Linked DNA regions of Coturnix japonica. The protein of the gene in region 1 interacts with the protein of each later gene in a pairwise test. Links are inferred from orthologs where the notes say so. Each region holds a gene or a part of one and is shown in the gene's direction. Other genes may lie near its edges.

The links.
Region 2: the proteins of EFEMP1 (region 1) and KHDRBS1 interact in a two-hybrid assay, tested with the Homo sapiens proteins (2 studies listed by BioGRID and IntAct). The link is inferred for Coturnix japonica from reciprocal best matches to the Homo sapiens genes EFEMP1 and KHDRBS1.
Region 3: the proteins of EFEMP1 (region 1) and RIC8A interact in binary tests that used the Homo sapiens proteins (3 or more experiments, as listed by UniProt). The link is inferred for Coturnix japonica from reciprocal best matches to the Homo sapiens genes EFEMP1 and RIC8A.

Annotation. Positions count from the first base shown.
Region 1 is NC_029518.1:7,141,238-7,148,541, forward strand, and holds the start of EFEMP1 (EGF-containing fibulin-like extracellular matrix protein 1), read left to right. Parts: upstream 1-2,422; 5' UTR 2,423-2,531; intron 2,532-2,808; 5' UTR 2,809-2,870; intron 2,871-2,958; 5' UTR 2,959-2,962; coding exon 2,963-3,046; intron 3,047-5,943; coding exon 5,944-5,992; intron 5,993-6,163; coding exon 6,164-6,424; intron 6,425-7,304. UniProt on the Homo sapiens protein: Binds EGFR, the EGF receptor, inducing EGFR autophosphorylation and the activation of downstream signaling pathways. May play a role in cell adhesion and migration. May function as a negative regulator of chondrocyte differentiation.
Region 2 is NC_029538.1:4,464,768-4,472,191, forward strand, and holds the start of KHDRBS1 (KH domain-containing, RNA-binding, signal transduction-associated protein 1), read left to right. Parts: upstream 1-2,666; 5' UTR 2,667-2,755; coding exon 2,756-3,077; intron 3,078-5,343; exon of another isoform or gene 5,344-5,376; coding exon of another isoform or gene 5,377-5,440; intron 5,441-7,424. Other genes in the region: PTP4A2 (protein tyrosine phosphatase type IVA 2), read right to left, coding at 1,284-1,795. UniProt on the Homo sapiens protein: Recruited and tyrosine phosphorylated by several receptor systems, for example the T-cell, leptin and insulin receptors. Once phosphorylated, functions as an adapter protein in signal transduction cascades by binding to SH2 and SH3 domain-containing proteins.
Region 3 is NC_029520.1:1,398,622-1,405,846, reverse strand, and holds the start of RIC8A (synembryn-A), read left to right. Parts: upstream 1-2,467; 5' UTR 2,468-2,583; intron 2,584-2,601; exon of another isoform or gene 2,602-2,692; intron 2,693-2,789; 5' UTR 2,790-2,888; coding exon 2,889-2,972; intron 2,973-5,186; coding exon 5,187-5,234; intron 5,235-6,553; coding exon 6,554-7,168; intron 7,169-7,225. Other genes in the region: BET1L (BET1-like protein), read right to left, coding at 929-1,096, 1,796-1,852, 2,197-2,288, 2,430-2,448.

The DNA of each region.
Region 1 (7,304 bases):
TCTACTCACCCTCTCACTCTCACATTTTCTTTTCATGTCAGAGGTCTGTGATGAGAACACAATACCACACCCAGCAGCCGCACTTCCACTGGACTTTACAGAAGCATACAAAATATGTGATCACATCTCTGTAAATTGCAGAAGCAAAATGGATTGCCTGACAAACTGCATGCAAACCGCACGCTTTGGCTTTCAGTAAAAGTTAAAAATAAGAAATGGCAACAACATTGTATTTCAATATCCTCACAGAGCATTGCTAGAGAACTATATGTGAAATTACAAGTTGGTCCAGTTAGCCAAAGGCCTCGGCACAACAGAAATCATACATCCCCCATACACGAGAAAATACAGGTTTACCTCCATCAGCTTTCTATTAAAACATGAAAGCAATTTGCTAGCAAATTAAGTTCACGCTAAAGTTACACCCTACATCATAAGCGATGTGCTCACCTCACCTCCCTCAAAGATCAACTTGTAAAATCTTACCTCAAATAAAAGCTCGACATTTGTCATATTTAATCAGCTATAAAGTCAGGCATATAATTGTTCACAATTTATCCTTCACCAGCACGGTGCCATTTATGGGTTGAAACATGGAAAAAAAATATCTGACATTTGCAGGAAGTGTGGCAGAAAGGCAGTCTGCCATGTTATCAAAATAATTTATGTGCTAAAATTCCTGTGAGTCCAACATGAAAATAACATCTCCACCATCCCAGCTCTTAGTTCAGACAGCGCCAGTGTTACTTGATATGACATACTGGGGAAAAGAAATCATCTTAAATTGACACTGATAGTCTCTTGAGCTGTCGAATACAAGTTGCTTAAACTTGCTGTGAGCTTGATTTTCTCTGCATTTGAAACAGGAAAAAGGGGGTCAGATCTGGGAGTAGAAGAGATTAAAGTGCAATTTTGTTTTCCGTATTTTTAGGCTAGTCTCTAATATCAATCTGCTCTAAATTATGTCCAGCTGTCTAGTGCCCCCAGGGACAGTTCCAGCAGCCAGAATTAGCTGGAGTGCAGTGACATTTTGACCACACACAGTCTTCCTTCAGCCTACCTATCCTTGGGTTTCTGAGGACAAAAGGGAGTGGCAACAAGCCCTGCCAGGAAAACAAAACACAAACACGCAGTCATAAAAACAGCATGTTAAAGGAAGTATGAAAACCCGTGGTTTTGATAGGAAGCAAAGGCTGAGACGTGACAGAGTTCACGAAAGCCACGGGGAATAGAGTGCATCATTTGCAGAAGGAGCCAGAAACAAGTAATTAGGGGCCAGCCTCAGAGGGCTGCTTCCATCAGTAGCACTGTCAAGTGAGTGTTGCTCTAGGTTTCCCACTCGTGCGCTATTTGGGCTCCTATACTGCAGATGTTGGGACGCACAGCACATTTGCTGCCTTCCTCAGGCCGTTTTTTTTTCCCTGCTGTTTTCTTCATTACTGGCACAGGCTGGCCATGGAGGTCACCACCATCCCTGGAGGTGTTCAATAAAGAGGGTGGATGTGGCACTGAGGGTTTAGTGGTACGGTGGGGATGGAGCAGTCTTTTTCAACCCTAACGATTCCATGATTCTGCTCAGTCCCGCTGCAGGGAACTTGCACGAAGGAGGGGGCGGGTTGGACAGGGCCCTGGGCAACCTGATCTAGTAAAGGTGTATGTTTGGTGCCCTTCTAGGCAGGGGGTTGGAACTACATGATCCTTGAGGTCCCTTCCAACCCGGGTCATTCTGTGAAGGGCTGTGCCCCAGAGGCCGGTGAGCGCGGTACAGGCCCCAGGGCAGCGGGCACGGCCCCGAGGGACACCGCTGTCAGGCGCAGGGTTTGGGTGCTGTCTGGAGCCGGGGTCGGACTCGCTGACCCTCGCGGGCCCCTTCCAGCTCAGCACGTTCTGCGCTCCTGCAGTTCGGCTTCACCCGCCCCGGCTTCTCCTCAGCTCCGGGAGGGCGGGAGCAGGGGGACGGCAGCCAGGCAACGCCCGGCAGCTGCCCGCCTCGCGCCGGGAGCCGAAGCCTGCGGCGCGCTCCTCACCGTGCCCTCCACGGCTCTGTCTGCTGGGACATCGAGCGAGAACACCGGGCAAGAACACACCCGGCGGGATGGAGCTGGTGCCTGCGGACCGGCTGCGGCTACCGGGGCGGGAGGGCTCGTTCCGCTCCCTCAGGACGCGGCCCCGTCCCTCCTGCCCGCAACATGGCGGCGCAGCCCCGCACCTGCTCCGCCTCAGGGCGCTTCGGCCGGCGGCGTCTGGGCGGGACAGCGGGCGCGAAGAGCGGCGAAGGGCCGTGCCCTGGATCCAGTGCCGCCCTGGATCCACTGCCGCCCCGCCCCGCCCCGCCCAGCAGCAGGGCTCCGGCCGCTGAGGGTTCGGTAGGGGGCGTCCGGGGGCCCCGGTAGGAGCCGGGACCGTTTCTATTTAGCTGAAGGTCCGGGGGGGCGGTGGGTGCCGGTACCGCAGCGGAGCCAGCGGACGGACGGGGCCGAGCCACCGCGGTAGCTGTGCCAACGGGAGCAGCCGCCCCGGCCCCGCCGCAGGTAAGAGCGGGATGGCGGGGGGATGGATGCGCCCCGCTGCCCCTTGGGGCAGGGCGGACACAGCTCGGCAGGTGCCCGGCGCGGCGGTGACCGTCGGTGCCGCCCCGGGGTCCCCTCCGACCGTCGGCGGCTCCCTGGAGAAATCGCTTTAGCAGCCGAGATACGGGCTGGCGAGGGTGCCGAGCTGCGTGCTCCTCGCCCGGCGTGCCATTAAGCGCTGTGTCGTTTTAAAGGCGGTTTGTTATTAATTGTAATTATCGCTGTGACTGTTTTTCAGCTGGATCAGGTTCCCCACAGCTGCCGCTCGGGAAGGGGCTGCGTGCTGGCCGCGGTGTCCAGGTAGGACACGCGGCGCGCTGGACACTGAGTTTTCTAGCAAAGGAACGCTAAAAATACCACTGGTTTATTTGTTTTTCTTGCCTTCCAGGTTCATGATGTTGACAGCTATGTTCTTGGCTGCTCTCATTCTTATTACAGTACATTCACAGGAAACTGAGGAAACCATAACGTACACGGTAAGGTTTAATAGAGCGGGAGATGATTGCTGCTTTGCAGGGATTCTTTTCTAAATGATCCTTAAGAAAAGCCAAACTTCTTGCCAACGCGTTGCATGTAATGCAAAGTTGTTTGAGTTTGAGTGCTAGCCTAAAATAAGCTGTTCCTATGCCGAAGGGGTAGTTGAAATGCTGAAGTTTGCAAGGCTGAGCAAAATGGGCTGCAGCTCCCTGTTCTGAAAAGTTTATCTGTGTGCTGTGCCTGATGAACTGAGAGGAACTATGAGGCTTAGCTTTTGTATCCGCCTTCCTCGAGAAAAGGTCCCTGGGACCCTCGTTTGAAGTACTTGGAACTTGATGGATAATTAGGTCAAACATTCTTCTGTGTTTTCCTTTGGATGTTTCAAACTGCTTATAACAACATGCAAGTACTTAAAAAAAAATGCACTGCTCTTAATGAAGCATTTAGCTCCTGGGGTGGTTGCATGAATGTTAGCTGCCGAGCTGCTTCAGACCAGTGATTTATTTATTTTTTCTTCCCACCTTGATCAGTGTCTACAGGAAAACTGAAAGCAGATTCTCCTTACAGCCAGGTGACAGCATAAGCAGTTTAAAGTCCTCTTTGGAAATTCATGGTTCTAAACTTGCTGTGCTCGCTCCTTGGCTTCAATAGTGCATGTCATAGGAGGAGTGGCAATTACATCGGCTTGGGCTGGTAAAAAAAAAAAAACCCGCATTTTTACATCTGATTACAGCTGTAATCCTTGCAACTTGCTTCATATGGGTGGACCTCGGAATATGTATACAGACATCAGCGCAATGCCACACAAGCAGAAAATTCTGCACACATACAGAAAGCTACAGAGCCACAGCCAAAGGCTGAGATTGTGTTTTCTGCAAGTAATCCTACTGAAGTCAGTGGGATGGCTCAGGCAAGTAAAGGTTGCAGAGCTGGACCCTTGCTATAGGAGACTGGGCTGTAGAAGCAATAGGTGGTTGGGAGGACTTCTGTTTAGAGGCTTCTGGGGTCTTTTTAAGTCCCCCTAAGTGGAAACAGATGAATTAAGTACATTTTGAACATTTACACTAATAGAAGGATACTGCCCCCTTCTTTTTTACCATTTGTTACACATTAAAAATAGCATTTTTGTGGTAAGTGTAAATGGTTCTTTTTGTACCAGTAGATTTCTGGCATGCCTGTGTGACTTGGATTCTGGTATTATGTTTTCAAAGAGGTCATAGCATTCAGGTGCCTCAGTGATCATTAGGCTTTTAATCATACAAAATTATTTAACAATGAAAATTTACTGTTGGAAGTTTTACCCTTAGGATGCTACTGTTTCTCATACGTACATTATATTCATTTAGGACCAAATCCCCTTCTATTGTGAAACTCCCTTCGGCTGCAGTAGTAGTTGGACTTGGCTCCTTCCTATTAAATAGACTGCACTCCTGTTGTGCATCAACAGGAACTGGATGATTCAGTAGATACATGAATTAGCTGTTTTCCTTTGGGTTTGGGTTTTCATAGCTACAGTAACTTTGGTGTTGTCAACTCAGTATGTAGTCATTCCTTTAGAGATAGAGAATTGTAATACGCAATTTACTGTCTGCTTACCCCTTCCTAATATTGTAGGCTTTTACTTCCAAGTTGCTGCCAGATCTGGCAGATGGCTAGCGTCACCTGTGAATGAAGAACATATTTTCAGTCCTGTTGCTGAGTCAGTGTCTATAACAAGTTTCTCAAAATAGCTTGAGGATAGTACATGGAACCAGTGAATCTCAGCACCAGAAGATTAAATTTGTCACCTACACGGTTCTATATGGCAGAGGAGTTGCAGTAACACTTAGCTTGCTGGACTCTGGCTAGTTACATTAATTGACTCAGTTCTTTTTTTCTATAAGACCATTAAAATAACACGCTAAGCAGTGCAGGGTGCATATGCACCTGCATAGTGCAGAGCAGTTGATTCATTGATGTTTTAAATGTCTGCAGTAGCTGGCAACATTGTGATGCTTAACTAAGTAATTTCTAGAAATGTAATTGGTGATTAAAATTTACTGCATTCTAGACACTTCAGCGCTTTTGGGCAGAGGGTTAACCAAGGTATTTTCTTAAACTGCAAGGCAGAATATTTAAAATTCTTCCTGATGTTACCAGTCTGCATTGATATGAATAGTTGCTGAGTTCAGTCTTGTTTGAATTCTGTCAAGTTTTATTTATATAAGTAGTCCTGCTGCTATAAACTCTAACCGGTTATCGTACGTCTCACAATATAAATTGTTCTTCCTAGACTGCAGTTCCTGGAGTCACATGGTTAAAGTGCATGTGAATGAATTTCCAGCTGTCATGGGATCTTTCCCCGTGCTAATGGGAGAAAAGATGATATACAGGGGTACTGAGGTCCATTAATCCCTCTGGCATAATTATGCCTGGAATAAAAGACGTTCACTTCTTGGAAGGCAATGTATGAGATCAAAGAAGAAAAACTTACTTTTTCTTTTTTGAGAAGATTTTTTCCATCCTGGTCAGCTGGGTCAGTTGTTTCTATTGAACAAATATCTATTCTGATATATTGTTTTAAAGCAGATGCTTTAAAGCAGATGCTTTAAAACAAAATAGCAAGAAGACAAGAAGAAAGTGATGCTTCCCCCATTCTCATTAAAGCCTTGTCTACTCTGCAAACAATATGGGGACCTTCCTAAGATAAAGCCTCTATCTGTACATGCTTTTTCTTGTGCCTGCCTAGTAGTTCTCTACTAATAGCCATTTTTCTAGCTTTCCAAGGTATAGAAACATTGCATTTCTCCCAGTGTAGAGCTTGGAGTTCATTGAAATGTGCTTATTTTTCCAAAATAAAGAATCCTGTATAGCACAATATTTTTTACCAACATTTTCTTTCTTCTTTTATCTGTAGCAATGCACAGATGGCTATGAATGGGATCCTGTTAGGCAACGGTGCAAAGGTACAGTAAATCATTTCCCAAGAAAAACTTGCTGTTGGAATTATTTCAGTATTGCCACATTCCTGTTTCAAACAAGGAGTGTGCTTGCATGCCTCTTTGTGTTGTTTTATTAATGGCTGTTGCAGAGGATTCTACTGTTAAAAGCATGATTTGTGTTGTTGCTAACCACAGATATTGATGAATGTGAAATAGTCCCAGATGCATGTAAAGGTGGGATGAAATGTGTTAACCACTATGGAGGATACCTCTGTCTACCTAGAACAGCCCAAATTATTGTAAATGAGAGAGAAGAAGCAGCAGCTGAATCCACTAGTGGTCGAAACAACGTCATTCGCCGGACTCCAGCTGATCCTCACCGTGCCCCTCCAAACCCAACTCATCAAATTCAGTGTGCATCTGGGTATGAGCAAAGTGAGCACAATGTGTGCCAAGGTAAGCAAGCTGCTGTGTGTTTTACTTTCAGTATCATTGGATTGCATGTGATAACAAATCTAAACCTGGAAAACAACTGCTTAGATCTTTGAATTTATTAGGAATGTATCTGTACACCATTAAATTGGATGCATACACACCTCCTTAAGGAGGTGACAGGTAACACAGCAGGGCATACTCAAGAGAAACTGTTGATCACAGCCCGAACCTCTGATTAACCATCTGAGGCAAGTGATGAGTCAGCAGTGGGAGCACAGGTGAAGGTAATTCAGCTGTGCTCCTGGAAGGGGTGGAGCTTGGCACCACCTCTCCTAGATTTCACCCCTTAAGGGCTGACCACCACTTAGGCAGCATCTCTTTCTGGAGATTGCTCCTTTACAGAGTTCTTGTGATGAGCCTCAATGTTGGCAAGCATCCATCTTGACTGTGAGCCTCAGCGCTGGTGAGTCTTTTCTCAGATACCCTCTGGCTATCTATAATTACAACTATACCCTTGTATTATCCCAACTGTACAGTGTACTGCAGATGTCTTCTGAAGGTGTGCAAAGCTATGTTTCTGGGTTTTTTTCAGTAAAGTGATGCTGAATGGAACAAAAAAAGAAGTGTGAGCCTTTGCTTAGATCAGATTGTAATGTAGAACACCACAGTGTTTTATGTCACTCATATATGTATGACACACGTTCCTCAAGCTGTAGGAACCAAGCATCTGAACATCTTGTGCTTTTCTGGTCTCTGTGGAAGTAGTCCTACGCAGACCCAGCCAACTTATTTCTAGTCATAGCCTAGCTGCTCTCTGAAACTATGGCAATGAAGAGTTTTCATCTGGGTGTACATACACTGTATGCTGTGCCAAAATTCTCAGAGTATTAGCAATGTTAAT
Region 2 (7,424 bases), on another chromosome or scaffold:
TTTCCAATAACTGAGTTCACTAAACCGAAGTATCTCTATACGTTGAGTCATAAGAAGATAGAGTTTTTTGGCTGATGCCAGTGGTGGTTTTATCTTTTTTTTTTTTCTTCTTTAAATACTAACTGCAGCTCTGAGTCAGAACCTGACTGGCTCATTTGGGGAGTTTTGAAGCCGGTTTCCATTTATACAGCAGCCTTTCAAAGCCAACTTTCTGCCTCCTCACGCTGCAGGCAATGAACACACAGCTGCCCCGGGAGGACACAGCTCGGCCAGCCACGCCAACGAGCCACAGCCACCGCCCAGCAGGGAGCACCCTGCCATGTCCCCACGTGCTGACACCCCCACAACCGCTTCCTCCCCCCCCAAAGCGTGTCCCTACAGCAGACCCTGCAGCACAGCGTTCAGAGCATCCCGCAGTCACCCTCAGCACTCCCTGCTCCCCCTCCCCGGGCCTCGCAGTGCTGTCCCTTTATTACACAGCAGGTCCTGCCCCCTGCCAGGCCCCAGGAAAGCCACTACATCCTGGCCACCTTTCCTCCCCAGCTCCACCCCCAGCTGCAGGGCACCCCCCCAGCACCGCTCCCAGTTTTCTCCTCTCCACTTCCAGCCCGGATCCCGGAAAATCTCCTCGTCCTTTACACCCCACCTCCAGGCCAAGCACAGGGCAGCACAGGGCAGCACAGGGCAGCCCCTTCCGCCACCATCTGGGGCCTCCTTCCCTCTCCCACCACTGCACAAACACAAAAGTGAACACAAACCCCACACCCCTGGGACGCTCCCGTCCCACGCTAAGACCCCATCCACCAACACCCCCACCCCCAAATAAACATCGCCCCACAGATACCGAGCACCCCCTGAGCACAGGTCGGGTTACCCTCACCCAGAGCCCCCCCAACACTCCGGTAACGGCTGATATCCCCCCCCGACCCATCCGCACAGTGCTGGGAACGGGGAAGGGCCGCCCCGCAGCCCCACACGCAGCCCCACACACCTCCGTGCTCCACGGCCCGCAAAGCACCGGCAGGAAGGGCCGCACGTACCGGCCGAGGCGCAGTCCGGGCAGCACAGCCCCGCACGCCGCCGAGGCCCCCCAGGCCGCAGCCCCCGTTACACCGAACCCCCCCGGGCCGGGCGGGGTCCCACGGAGCACAAAGGCCGCGTTCCTCGAGGCCCCCCGCAGCCCCACCGGACCCTCAGAGCCCCCCCCGGTCCATGCCCGCCCCGGGGCTGCTCTCGGTTCTCCCCCGGCCTCCTCCTCACCCCGGCCCCCCCCGGTTCCTCACCCCGGGCATTGAGCGCGGCGCCGTTCTTCCGAGCGGACCCGGCGCCTCCCACACCGCGGGCCGGGGGGCGCGATGGGGGCAGGAAGGGGCGGCGGCGGCGTTGGGGAGCGGCGGGGCCCGTGACGGGGCTGAGGCTGAACGACCCCCGGTGCGGCCCGAGCGGCGGACACAGCGCACAGCCCCGCCGCCACACGGCTCACACTGCACAGGCCGCTCCCCCCCCGCCCTGCCCCGTGGTACGGCCCGCACGGCGCTGATTGGCACGGCGCGACGCACCCCCGCAACCGGCAGTGGTACGGCCCGCTCCGCCTCAATCCCCCCGCGTGGAAGCGCCCACTCGGTGCCCTCGCGGGGGGATCCCGTGTCTGTCTGTGCCGTGCGAGCGGCGCAGCCTCGCAGCCGTTTTCCGCCACACGAGATGCGGGTTGAGCCCCGTCCCCGAGCCGCGAGGAGCCGCCGCTCTCATCCCTGCGCAGCCGGAGCTCCCCGCACCCTCCCCACGCAGCCGGCATTGGTACGGCCCGACTCTCCCCCTAACCGCCGCCTCCCCCCGCCGCACTTGGACCGGTCCGCCCGCACCACGTGCGCACCCCCCCGCAGAGGGGCGATGGAACAGCCCTCCTGTAACCCCCCCATCCCCTCCTGTCCTGATACGGCAGCTCCGGTTAGACAGCACGGACAGACAGCGAGCCCCGGCCACAGCCCCGGGCAGGGATGCGGTCTCAACCACGTGCCCCGTTAGTTCGGGCCCGGAGCGCCCGCCCTGCAGCTGGAACAAGAGCTGCTGTGTGCTCTGCCCGCAGGAAGCAGCAGCGGGGCCCCTCCCGTCCGTGTGCACAGCGCAGCACGGAGCTGTGCAGCCCAGCAGGTCCGTTCTGTAGCTGAACGAACGCTGTGTGTCAGAGCTCAGTGATTAACAACACGTTGTGTCAGCAGGGAGCAATGGGGATGTGATCGCATCCACATCCGGTGCTCCTGTTAATGCTGGGAGCAGGGATGGCCCTAAAGCAGAGCAGCTCCTATATTCAGCCTATAAAAGCCTATTGCTGCAGCCAGCCCACAGCACACAGTGCTCCGGGCAGAGCAGCACTAAGACATGAGGCCCATATCCCAGGTCCCGGTCCCGCATCGCACCTCCCCGCACCGCCATGTCGGACCCGCAGTGCGCATGCGTAAAGCTCCTTGAGCCTGGCGCCACAGCGCCGCGCACGTGCTGCTCTCCCAATCGCGCGCCCGGCACTGCGCATGCGCACAAGGAGAATGCTTCCTTCTCACGCCGCGCATGCGCCCTGTGAAGCCGAGGGGCTGCGCGACAGCGCATGCGCAGAAGCGCGTGGGGTGGTCGCGCGGGAAGCGCTGTGTGGGGGCGCTGTGAGGGATGGGGCGGTACTTCCGGTCTCCCACTTCCGGTCCCGTCGCTGCGGCTGCTCGGGGTGGCAGCGCCGTTCGGGCCCGTCCCGCTCCGTGCCCGCATGCAGCGCCGCGATGAGTCCAACGCCCGCATGGGCCGCGGGCCGGGGGGACCCGGGGGATCCCGCCAAGGGGGGCCCAACCCGCGGCGGTCTCCCCGGGGCGGGGGGGGCCGTGGGGCCCAGCAGCCGCAGCCGCTGCTGACCGGCGGAGGGGCGGCAGGCTCCTCTGGCTCGCAAGGCCCCGCCGCCGCCTCCCCCGCCCCGCTGCTGACAGGGGGAAACAACAAGATGGAGCCCGAGAACAAATACCTGCCCGAGCTGATGGCCGAGAAGGACAGCCTGGACCCGTCCTTCACTCACGCCATGCAGCTCCTCAGCGCAGGTACCGAGCGGAGCGGGGGGTGGGGATGGAATGTGGCGGCAGCGCGGTACCGAGTGCTGGGAACGGCTCTGTATGAAGCGCTGGGCTGTGTGTGATATGAGCTATAGGGCACCGGGAGCCGAAGGTTCGTTGTACAGGGAGGTTGGCTGCTGTCATCCCTTGGGGGAGGGGTCCGAGCTGAGCGGCCAGATCGTGGGCTGCGATCTGTGCTTTTCCACTCGGTAACACGTCCAGAGCTCGTTCCGTGGTGCTGCTGATCCTCAGTAGTGAATGGGAATGGCAGCCTTTGTTCTGTGCCCGGAGCTGCCTTCTCCTTCCCCATCGCCGCTGTCCAATCGCCTGCCCGCTCTCATTCCTCCCCATCTCCCTCCCCGTGCAGCTGCCGGGGTGGGCTCAGCTGCCTCTGATACCTGGCAATAAAATCGGAGCCTTCAGCATTTCATACAGACTATTCTGCAGACTGACCTTGTGGCTCGGGAGGGTTGTTTTTCCCAGATAAGCGGGACAGCTGGAGCCTAAAAGCAGAGCCTGAGCATTCCACGGGCTGTGGGGATGTGCACTGTACCCTGCTGGGGCTGAGTATAGGCACCATAACAAGGTTGAAGTACTAATTAGGAATGTAGTCAACAGCTGTTTTTAATAAGTACAGCAATTTTAGGAAGAGGCCGTCGTGTTGTGGTTATGCATCGACATTTCCATATCTAAAACATGTGAAATCAGTGAGCTTTAACCCCTGGATGTGCAGCTTGGAGGTGCCATCCTCGCACCCAGCGCTGCAATAGAGCCATGTCAGCTTTCTGACCTCTCATAGGGGTTGGTGAGTTTTGTTCCTGTATTTCAGTGCCACCTGCAGAGCCCACAGCCGGCTTCAAACAGGAACAGCTTCAAATCTTGGCTGCCGCTTGGAGCTTAATATGCGTGCGGTGCTGAGCAGGTGGTGCCAGCACAGGGATAGCAGCACATTGAACCAGCTCCGTGCGCTGCCGTTTGTCATCCTGCTTCCAAATGATTCCTCAGGTCTTTATACTGCTGAATATTGCCATAATTGTCGCAGCGCTCGAGGCTTTTTTAGTTCCTCCTTTAATGTGGGAAATAATTCTTAAGAATTGCTGTCTCCTGTTCTGCAGATAGCTGAGGTACGTCGTCACGGGTAACTTGGCATCATTTGTGGGCACCTCGATCTAAATAAATCAGTTTTATAATCCGATTTGCCATCAGTTTAATGTTTTTCATTAATAAAAGCGTTTAGCCAGCTGATGCTCACAGCTCTGTGCTAATGCCTTCAGTGACATGAGACCTGAGGAGTGTGTTCATTCCCAAAGAAGGAGCAGCGTTCTCAGCCCCCTTTGCCCAGCTTTGTTTGCAGAGCGGTCTAACAAGGATTTATGAGCTTCTCCATTAACTTGGAGTTTGCTCATAGTGAGCTGCAGCTCTGTGAGGTGTCACATTGGAAGAAGGCTGGGTGCTTTTTGCTTGCTTCAGGTATATTGAGAACTGGGGGTTTGGGGAGTGTAAAATGGTGTCTAAAAGTAGCCTTAAAGTAGCCTGAAAGTACCTTTGTAATTCTGGAGCTGTTCAGTGTTTCTAAAGAAAAATCAGCATTGTTTGGGATTGGGATGAAAGGCCACACAGTGATGTAACGCTGATCCTCAGACAATGTACTGTGTGATATGAAGCAGTGAAGGGGGTAGATGGTGGGATTGTGTTACACAGCACCCTGAACAGACGTTGCAAACGGGGATTTTTGCACCTTGGAATATGAGGTTCCTCACTGCCGTGATTCAGGATCTACACCAGCTTCCTTTTCCTTGCTTTCATTCATGCTCTGGCTGCTGTGGCTGCAGGGCTGGAGGTGCTGACATCCCATAGGCACAGTGCTTCCAGGCACTGGGGATAGTCAGGAGGCATCCGGTGCCGTGTCTGTCGGCTGGAGGTGTTTTCCAGGTTCTTGCATTAATCTGAGCTATTTCCATTTCATGGAGATCCTCTCCTTGGACAGAGCTGGCATTTCATCTCTGAGCTTCCTGTGCTTTGTGAGTGAGCTGCCTCTGCTCCGCTCACACCTTTACCTGGAGCATCTTGGAGGTCCTTCATGTTCCCAGGCAGGCGGGATGGTGAGGAGGGCAGAGCACAGGGTGCTGCAGGTCCACGTTTGGTGGTTTTGCTAGGGAAGAGCTCGGGCTGAGATCAGGAGTGGCACTGTGGCTGCTGAGCCTCCTTCCTGCAATGCAGCCGCGTTACCAACCCCCCTTTACCTGCCCCATAGGATTTCTTCTGAGACAAAGCAATCACTGCCCCCATGAAGTCCGGGAAGCCACTGCCACGCATGCTGCCAGCCTGCTGCCATTCCCCGTGGCAAGAAGGTAACCTTCTGCTGCACCTCTGACACGGCCTTTAAAAATCAGCACTGAAATGAGGCATGCTTAACCCCTGAGGTGTACGTACGCTTCTGCTGCATATCAGTAAGTGGTCCGACAAACTGCTTCCGCTCGTCGGTTCGTTCAGTGCTGCTTCCAGTCCATAGCTTAAGGGGCAATGCACACCCAGAGGGACACACCACGGGGAGTGTGGGGCTGCTCCTTCCTCACACCTGTTTAAAGCTTTGGGGGTTCCTTCTGTGCTGTGAAGGAGACCGTGAGGCCACCTGCACTGACCCACATTGAAAGCCGGAGCGCTCTGCGGGTTGCTTTTTGGGTCAGGGTTTTTTCTTCTCTCTGGTTTTGGGTTTCACTTGCAGAATCGGTGATGCTGGAGCTGAGGCTTTGAGCACAGCTTTAACTGTTTGCTGCTCCCCCAGCCTCATTCCCAGGCGTTGCTGCTGTTGCATCAGGTTTTGCTGTGTGTTGTGGGTGCGATTCTTTGCTTTTCAGAGGCTGAAGTCTGATCACGTTGTTCTGGCAAGGCAGCCTAAGGGCGCTTTCATTATTATGTGTGTAGAAAGTCCTTTTTGTTAATATGCAGAATACTCTTACAAACATTCTCACTGCTTTTGGAGAGCCAAAGTATTGCAGAGAGGATCCCACTGTACTGCAGGATTTAAAGCTGTGCTTACCCAGCGCTGAGCCCAGCAGTGTGCTCTGCTTGTTCCACATCCCGGTTCTCTGATGTGTTCTTACAGCTGCAATGAAAAGGCTGCGTGTGAAGCTGACCCAGGCATCTCCTCGCTCTGTTTTACAGACTTGACAGAGCTCCAGCTGCATTTCTATTCTGTCCTCAGGAGATCATTTCTTTGCAGAGCAAAAATCAACCCATCTTCCTCAAAGCTGATTGTATCCGTCTGTATTGTTTTTTTACTGAGGAGCCATGGTGACACACTTAGGAGTGATCCAAGGAGAAATTAGGCTTTTTTTATGATTGTGCAATGTAATAACTCAATTATGTGCTTAGATCTCTGAATATGTGTGTATGAAGCCCCCATCCTTGGGGCTGCTGGAAGGTGCCAGGTGCCTCCATTCAGGCTGTACAGCCATAACCCGCTGTGCCTGACTGGGTTTGGGGTCTGAGACCGTCACTGGGTGGACAGTGTGCCCAACATCTGATGGTACCCAGCCTTTGAAAGCTGGAAACATGAACGTTTAATGCAAAGCATGGGCAGAAATTGCAGGACAGGTGAGATAGCGCGGCTGCCCTCTGCAGATGCTGGTAACTGAGCAGGCTGCCCTGCAGCTCTGATCCAATTGTGTGTGATCTTGTGAAAGTGGCTCCCTCCCCGCTGAGATGTGGGGAATCGTATTTGAAGCACTTTTGGAATCAGAATTGATATTTATAGCTCCTGGGTTTGCTGGTGAAATGATGTGCTTCAGCTTTAAGGAAGGGTCCTCACTCAGCATCCATTTGGAGGGGGGGCTCTTACTTTGACAGTCAGCATTTGTGGTTATGTTGGTTGAATCAAGCTGGGGCATCTCGATGGCTCATGTGCCCAGGGCTCCCTGCTTCAAGCTGTGAATTGCTGGTGATGAAGGTGCATTCCTGGAGGGAGGACTGTCAGCTCCAGAATCCAGTCTGAACTCCGGGCTGTCACTGACTGAGACTTCTGGTTATTAAGAATGCTGTCAAATAACTGGGATTCACAGTGTTGGCTGATGCCGCTCTGTGACAGATTCAAAATGGTGCATCAGCTTTAAAAAATTACCAAAGATTTGCCTGTTTTGCTGATCAATGCTGCACTGAAGCAGAGGAACTCAGTCCATGTGGTTGGGCTGGGTGCTGTGTGGGTCAGGGCTCTGCCGTGGGAGCTGCACTCACATGGGGGCAAGAGCATGGGGATGGACAGCAGGAGGCACAGCACAAGGGATGCACACAGCTGCTTAACTTTCCTCCCTTGAGCGATGAGGTTATCGTAGGGCA
Region 3 (7,225 bases), on another chromosome or scaffold:
ATTATACCCCACAGTCTCTCCCCACCCCAGTGATCGATGCCAATCCCATGTTGTCCCTGCAGCCCCCATGACGTGTCACATCATTCCATTCCCTTGGTGACATCCCCCTGCACTAGGGACATGCTGCACGCAGCCCATGTGTCACAGTTGAGGACAATAAATTAAATGCATGCAAGTTAAGCCTTGTCCCTGTGTTTGAATGCCTGGGGGTGGGAATGTATGGGGCCCTATGGGTTGGGTGCAGAGGAGCACTTGAACACCTGAGTTCCTGCTAGGTAGTAGGGGGATGAGGGCATACCCAGCCCAGGCACACGTTTATTGGGGTCATGCTGGATTAAGTCACACATTGATCATTCCAAAGTTTATAAATCATTACAGCCTAAACTTTGCAGCTTCCAAACCTCTGATTTATTAAACCTGTATTGATAACCATCTGGATTTGTCAGATATGCCAGGTATTAGTAATGGAGGTAAGACAAAAGTATCCCTTAAGAACTGGCTGCAAGACATGGATGAGACGAGAGATATAGGCATGAACATCAAAATCAGGTGATATGTGGAAATCCAGTTAGAATGGTCTTTGCAGGGCAGGCAGCTGCCAAGGAAAGGTGACAGATGTGATGCTGCAGGAGCTGAACAACAGTGGCATCACCCAGGGGCTGACTGAGCTCTTCCAGGTCTGGGTGCTGCAGGGTCTATATGTGCGGTGGGATGTGTCATCCAGAGCAGCCTGGTGGATGTGCTGTCAGTGAAATACTCATTTTACCTCCAAGACCAGCCAGAATGGTGACAAAACACTGGTTAAAAGTTATCTGGAATGTCTGTTGGGAAGTCCCAAGGATCCCAAAGCAGGGCAGATCTAGAAAGGCGCTGAACAAGTCTGTCAATCACATTGATTTAGTTCAGTAAAACTACGCAAGAACCAAGATCAAGTCCCAGCTTTGGACACAAGATAGTAGAGGATGAAGAAAACAACAACCAGTCCTACAGAAACAAAGCAGAGTAACTTGCGGTTCTCCCTCCCAGAGCGTGTCATGGTGCTGAATCGCTTCATGCTGCCGGTCAGCAGCCCAGTAGCACTCAGAAAATCCGAATCCTAGAGGAGAAACAAAGTGCAAAAAGCAGCATTTCAAACTGGAGAGGCAGCCCATGAGGAGGGTCCAGCTTCCTGCTTAAAGAACAACTGCAGCAGCTGCGCTGTAACTGCCTGTATCTCTGTACCTATCGTGTCTCTCTTATGAGGAACTTCCCTGCCTGCGCTCGTGGCAAAGGCACAGGTAAATACTGCATACCAAGTATCTCTACATAAAGCTAGCACCGTTAATGCCTGCCAGGGCAGGCTAAAAAGCACCAAAACCACGCAGTTTCTTTCCATTAGTTCTCTTTTTTTTCTTTCAGCATGGGGCAGCATACACTTGTAACACCACCAGGTGGCAGCAAACAAGTCTTAAAGCAATTCATTATCATTTCGACTCCACGTCTGTTTTCCTTTCTCATAAACTACCTCCCACTTTTTGCTCACGTTTCTCCTGAAATATCCCTAAATCTTCTCTAATAGAAGCACAATTGCGTGCTGATTCGGGGCTTCTCCTTTAAGATCTCTTGTCTTTACATCTCTCATTCCAACTCTCCACTCTTTTGATTTCTAGGCTGAACAAATATCCAGTTCAGATACTCCAAGGCCATACACTGCTATTAAGGTTCCAAGCTATTAAGCTTCCAAGCTCCCACCTTTGACCAAACTGGTCCCAACATTGAAATTCATGCTTTTTACCCTTCTTTTTTGGTTCCTTACCATGCTATCCAGGTAACGGTTCTGTTCATCAGCATCTTTATCAATATCCAGAGCCAGCTACACAGCATAAGAGAGGAAATTGACGTTAATGAACACCAAGACAACCTGGAACGCATCTAGGCCCACACTAGAGGATGTGGTGGAGGTTTGTTAAGCACAGCCACAAAACAAGGCCTCTCACTCACTGCAGTTTGGGGTTGTGGGAATCCTTTTGCTGTGGAAATAATCTGGGAAAGCTGGCAGAAACTTCCCTATGTTGGACATATGACAACAGCTGACGGACCAGCACTGCCTCCTACTGCTACACGTCAGCCATCGTATGCCCACAGCACTGAGGAAGCCCACACAACTGCGTTGTCCCTGAGACCCTGCAAGCGTCCATAGCAGCGCCAGCAACTCACCGACTTCAGCCTGGTGACTTTGCTGGCCAGGTTGTCTGTCATGCGCTTGTTCTCCACGTCCAGCATATCCTCCATAGCAACCGCATTCTGTCCTGAGGAGAAAAGAAACGCGTCTCATCATCCCGACTGGGGAGCATGGCACATCCCCAAGATGGCGGCGGGGTGCCCCAAGATGGCGGCGGGGCGCCCCCTTTAGCAGCCCCTCAGCGCGCCCCTCACTCCTTCCCCCTCACCTCGCCCCCAGTCCGCCATGGCGGCACACGGCGAAAGGCGGCTCCGCCCGGCAGGAGGAGCTCCGCCTCTGTAAAATGGCCGCTGGGCCTTCGCCTTCCCTGTTGGGTAGTGAGGAGCGGGGAGCTATTACGGGAAGCACCGTGATCTGCTGCGGTAATCCTCGGGTGGGGAGGGGGGGGTGTCCCAGCGCTGTGCTGGGAGGGCATGCATTAAACGTCGGAAAGCAAAGAGGAAAGAAGAGGATTAGAGGGGCAGAGAGGCTGTACGTGGTTCACCCGTCTGCTTTATGGACGCAGCAGTGAGCCGGCTCGCTTGATTTTTGTTTCTTTTTCCCCACCCCCTTTCTCACTGCCTCTCAGTTCTCAAGGATCGAGGTCCCTTTGCACCGCTGTTATCCAGGAGCTCTGGAAGCCTTTCCTCTCTGCTTCCCATCCTGCTGTAGCTGAGCTGTTGGTATCATGGAGCTCAGGACCGTAGTGGCCACGGTGGAAAGCGGGGAGCAAGACGCGGTCCTCAAGGTGCTTCAGATCTACAACCAGGAGGTGAGTGAGCATCACACCTCAGCCTGATGTCACCTGCTGCTGTCAGCAAGCCTGGAAGCAGGTTGGGCCGTGTTATGGGTTCACAGTGCTGCCCAGCTATCCCATCTCCTCTGAGCATCTGTCTCTGCATTATTGCCCTGGAGATGTCATAGACTGCTTTGTTTTGTTACTTGCAAGCTGCTTCTTAATGATGCTTTACTAGGAAGCAGCTAAGAAGCCTCCCTTTATCTTGTTTATGCTGGAAGAAAAGTACATGGGAAGGATTTTCTTTATTATCCAGATTGCAAGTTAAACCCGGTAGGGGAATAATCATGGGCATGAGGAGTAGGAGGAGCCTTGATGCTAGGCAAGGTTTGGAGGTAATAAAACTCACACCTAGGGAGGAGCTGCAGGTAGGATTGTTGTGATTTGTAAGCAAAAGACAATTAGGAGTTGGTGTGAATGGATGCTGGGATTGGATTAGGGTGCCTGATCTGAAAGCTGGCGCATGAAATAATGAGTGTAGAACATGAAAAAGACCGGGTCAGGAAGCTGAAGTGCGAGTGACTCTAACCTTAGATCATCTGCAGGGGTAGTTCCCTTTTGAAACTGTCTGCCAGGGAAATTTCCTTCAGAGGGTTTCCACCAGGCTAGGGCTGGCCCTGCAGATCTGTGACTCATTCTGCACCATTCTGAAGTAGGAGGGAAGCTGGTGGGGAAAACCTGTGCTTATCTTACAAGCATGTGCACTTCCCTTCCTGCACTAACTGTTTCCAGCAGTCGGTTTTGAAACAGCAGGTCCCTTTTAAAAGGTTGGTCTGCAGGATTAGCGTTGCTGGCAGCAGCTGGTGTGCTGGAGAAATTAGGATAGTAAATGGCATTTGTTGTGCAACCGTGTTGAGGCACTAAATCCAATGCTTTGAATTCCTCCAGCTGGTTTCTTTGTCAGCGTGTAGAGCATAGGAAACTTGTGAGGATGTCAGTCATTTTGCTAGCTTGTCTGGGAGAAATGAGCTGAAGAGATTAAACTGATTATAAGCCAACCGACTTCCTTGCATAGTTTTTTTTACTACAAAAGCAGGTGCTGTTATATTCTTCTCTAGGTATATATATATATTTAATTCACTATTAAATATGCAGTCAGTTCCTGGTTGTCGGGAATAGAATACAGCTAAAGCCAAACCCACAGGTGTGTTATGGAAATATTTGTGAATGAGATTACAGGAGCCTGCAAAGAAGCTCTGGAAATGCCTTTGTGCACGAGGTCAGTCTGACTAACGTTCTGACTGACATGAGAAGGTTCACAGATGCAAGGGAAAGCTCCGTTCTGCATAGAGTGGAGCGTTCACCTGTTTTAATTGGCTGTGTGTGAAGAACGTGAGCTGAATAACAGTCCTACTTCAGGATGCTGTAGGAAGAACATAAGGATTTGTTTGCAAGTAGCAAGGAAGTGATGCTTTCTATTAGGAAGGAAAAGAAACAATAACAAAGGGGAGAAGAGCGTACACATAGCTTGGTAGAGTCATTAAGCGTAATCAAGTTTACCCAGGGAAGCTGTGGATACCAGGCCAGGCTGAATGGGGTTTTGGACAACCTGAGCTTGTGGTGTTCATGCCCATGGCAAGGGGTTGGAATTCAGATGATCTTTAAGGTCCCTTAAGACCCAAACTATACTATGAGTTATGGGATATTTGGAATGTATTGAATACCCACCTCACAGCTGCAGTATATAAAATTAAGCTGGTCCATCAGATGGGCACAGCTTTGGCCTGTGACATGTGGTGTCCACCACTGAGCCAGCAGAAGAGAGTATGGGGTGTTCATCGAATGTTTTTCAGGCATGAAAGAGAAGGAAAACAATTCTGACTTGGCAGCATGGGCTGTATCTGGGCTTTTCAAATGAGGTTCGTTCCCTGCTTGTTAAAATGTAGCTGAAGTTGCTGGATACAAACAGTGTTGAACAGAGAAGACAATAATGAAGCAAAGCTCTCAGCAACAGGAAAAACTGTCCTTGTGTCTGGCTCCTACCTATGCTGTTTGTTAAAGAGGTGTGCAGTATTCATAGGTTTTTTAACACTCTTTGCCTCTTTGATTCCCTGTGCTGGTAAAGACTTCTTGAGAAGGCTTACTTGTCTTTATAGAGTGCTTTTCAGAGTTGCTTTCCAAGCTTATTCCCTGTTTGGGAAAGGCAGATTTGTGGATTTTTAAACTCATACTTTCTTTTCTGCTCTACAGAAATCTCAATGCTTTACCTTTGATGATGAGGAACGGGAGGAGAGGAAGGTAGGCGTGCTCTTTGGCTTCTTGTTCTTGTTGTCCTGTAGATGGTGGCTGGGGATAAAAATCAGTATTCTTCCAACATTAGCAATCCCTTTGGGTTTGGTGATGCATATGGCTTCAGCAGCATGCATGAGAAGCATGATCCTGTGTGTGTGTGTGTGTGTGTGTGTGTGTGTGTGTAAATGGTGCAGTCTGCTAAGCAAAGATAACAGCAGCATGCGGGTAAGTGCTTCTGCTGTGAGCGAGCTGCAGGATTTGACCAAAGCTGTCTATTAACAAACCCTTTAAGCTGGAATAATCTGGCACTCAGTGGAAAGAAATACCCCTGTCCATTTCCACTCGTGGCATTTCTCTTGTGCTGGGGCAGGCCTTTGCACGGCTGCACTGCAGATATGCTTGGTAGGATCTGCTTTAGGAAAGAACATTTTTCTTCTATCTCTGTTATTCTCCATCTGGACCAGTTTTGTGGTGGGTCGTGTGTGGAAGCAGGGGATTAATGGTGGAGTGACGTGTTGCTATGTGTAGTTACAACCTAGCTGCACTGGGTTGTGTGAGGCTTTACCTTTCGCTCTTGTACTTTTCCATGTTTGCTATCATGTATGTTATTGTTATCCACAAGGGTTATATCTTCAGCTGTGGTAAATCAGTGTTACTGGAGCTGTCAGTCTGTACCTATGAAGGGGTAGTAGGTCTCCAGACAGCACTGAAATTTATGGGAGGTCCTTTTTATTTGAATCTTCTGAGGTCTTTTCCCCTCCTTTCTTACCACATCACACACAATTCTGAACCCATTAAGTTCTTTTTCCCCTCCCACAGCAGTTCTCTGGTGTCAGCCTCAGCAGCCTGTTTGGAGCACCCAAAGCAGAAGCTTCTCTAGTCTTAATGCTCTGGGTGAGGCTGAACCACTGCTGTTGAACTGAGTGCTGCTTCTCAGTGAAGATATAAGGGACTTTTTTGCACTGTTCTCTTAGCTTATTGCAGCTGTCAGGTAATCCATATTAGCCAAAACCATCCTAACCATGGGTGAAGCTAAAATAAGCAGTAGTTCACTCACTCAGCAGCAGCTGCCTGTTCCTATTCTTCACTTAATTCTGACAGCACTCCCCAGCCATTCTTTGTCTCTTGCTGGTTGTCCTTGCTTGACTTGGGTCAGCATCAGGTGCCAGAAGCAAACGCTTTGAGAGCTGCCTGTTAGAAGGCCTGTATCTAGATGATGCTTTGTATCTAGGTGATGCTCCTAGGTGTTACAGCATGCTACCTTGCGTTGGGGCTGCACTGTGAAGTGTCAGCATGTGTGGCATTCTTTGTTTCTAACCACGCAGAAAATGGCCCAGTTGCTGATCAAGTTTCTGGAGAGAGAGCTCCAGCCATCCTGCCAGGTCACGTGCTTGGAAAGCATCCGCATCCTGTCACGGGACAAATACTGCCTTGAGCCTTTCAGCACCGAGGAAGGGCTGAAGACCCTATCCAGGCATGCTGGCATTGATTACTCAGAGGAGCTCATCCGAGAGGTCCCGGACTTGGAGGTCATCCTGGAATCCCTCAAATGCCTCTGCAACATTGTCTTCAGCAGTCCGAGAGCACAGGAGCTGACAGCTGAAGCCCGGCTGGCAGTGGGCCTGACAAAGCGCATCAAACTCTACAACGAGAGGAGCCTTCCTCATGAAGTCAAGTTCTTTGACCTGCGTCTTCTCTTCCTGCTGACAGCACTGAGAGTGGATATCCGGCAGCAGTTAGCCCAGGAGCTCCGGGGCATCAGCCTGATGACAGACACCCTGGAGCTGACTCTTGGTGTCAAGTGGATGGACCCCTATGAGGTTGCCACTGAGGAAGGATTGCTTCCACCTTTGCCTCGGCAAGAGACAGAGCGAGCCATGGAGATCCTGAAAGTGCTCTTCAATATTACTTTTGATTCCAGCAAGAGGGAGGTGGATGAGGTAAGCTCCTCGAGTGTTGCACCACACTACATTTGCTTGTCTACTCTTATGTTGTGT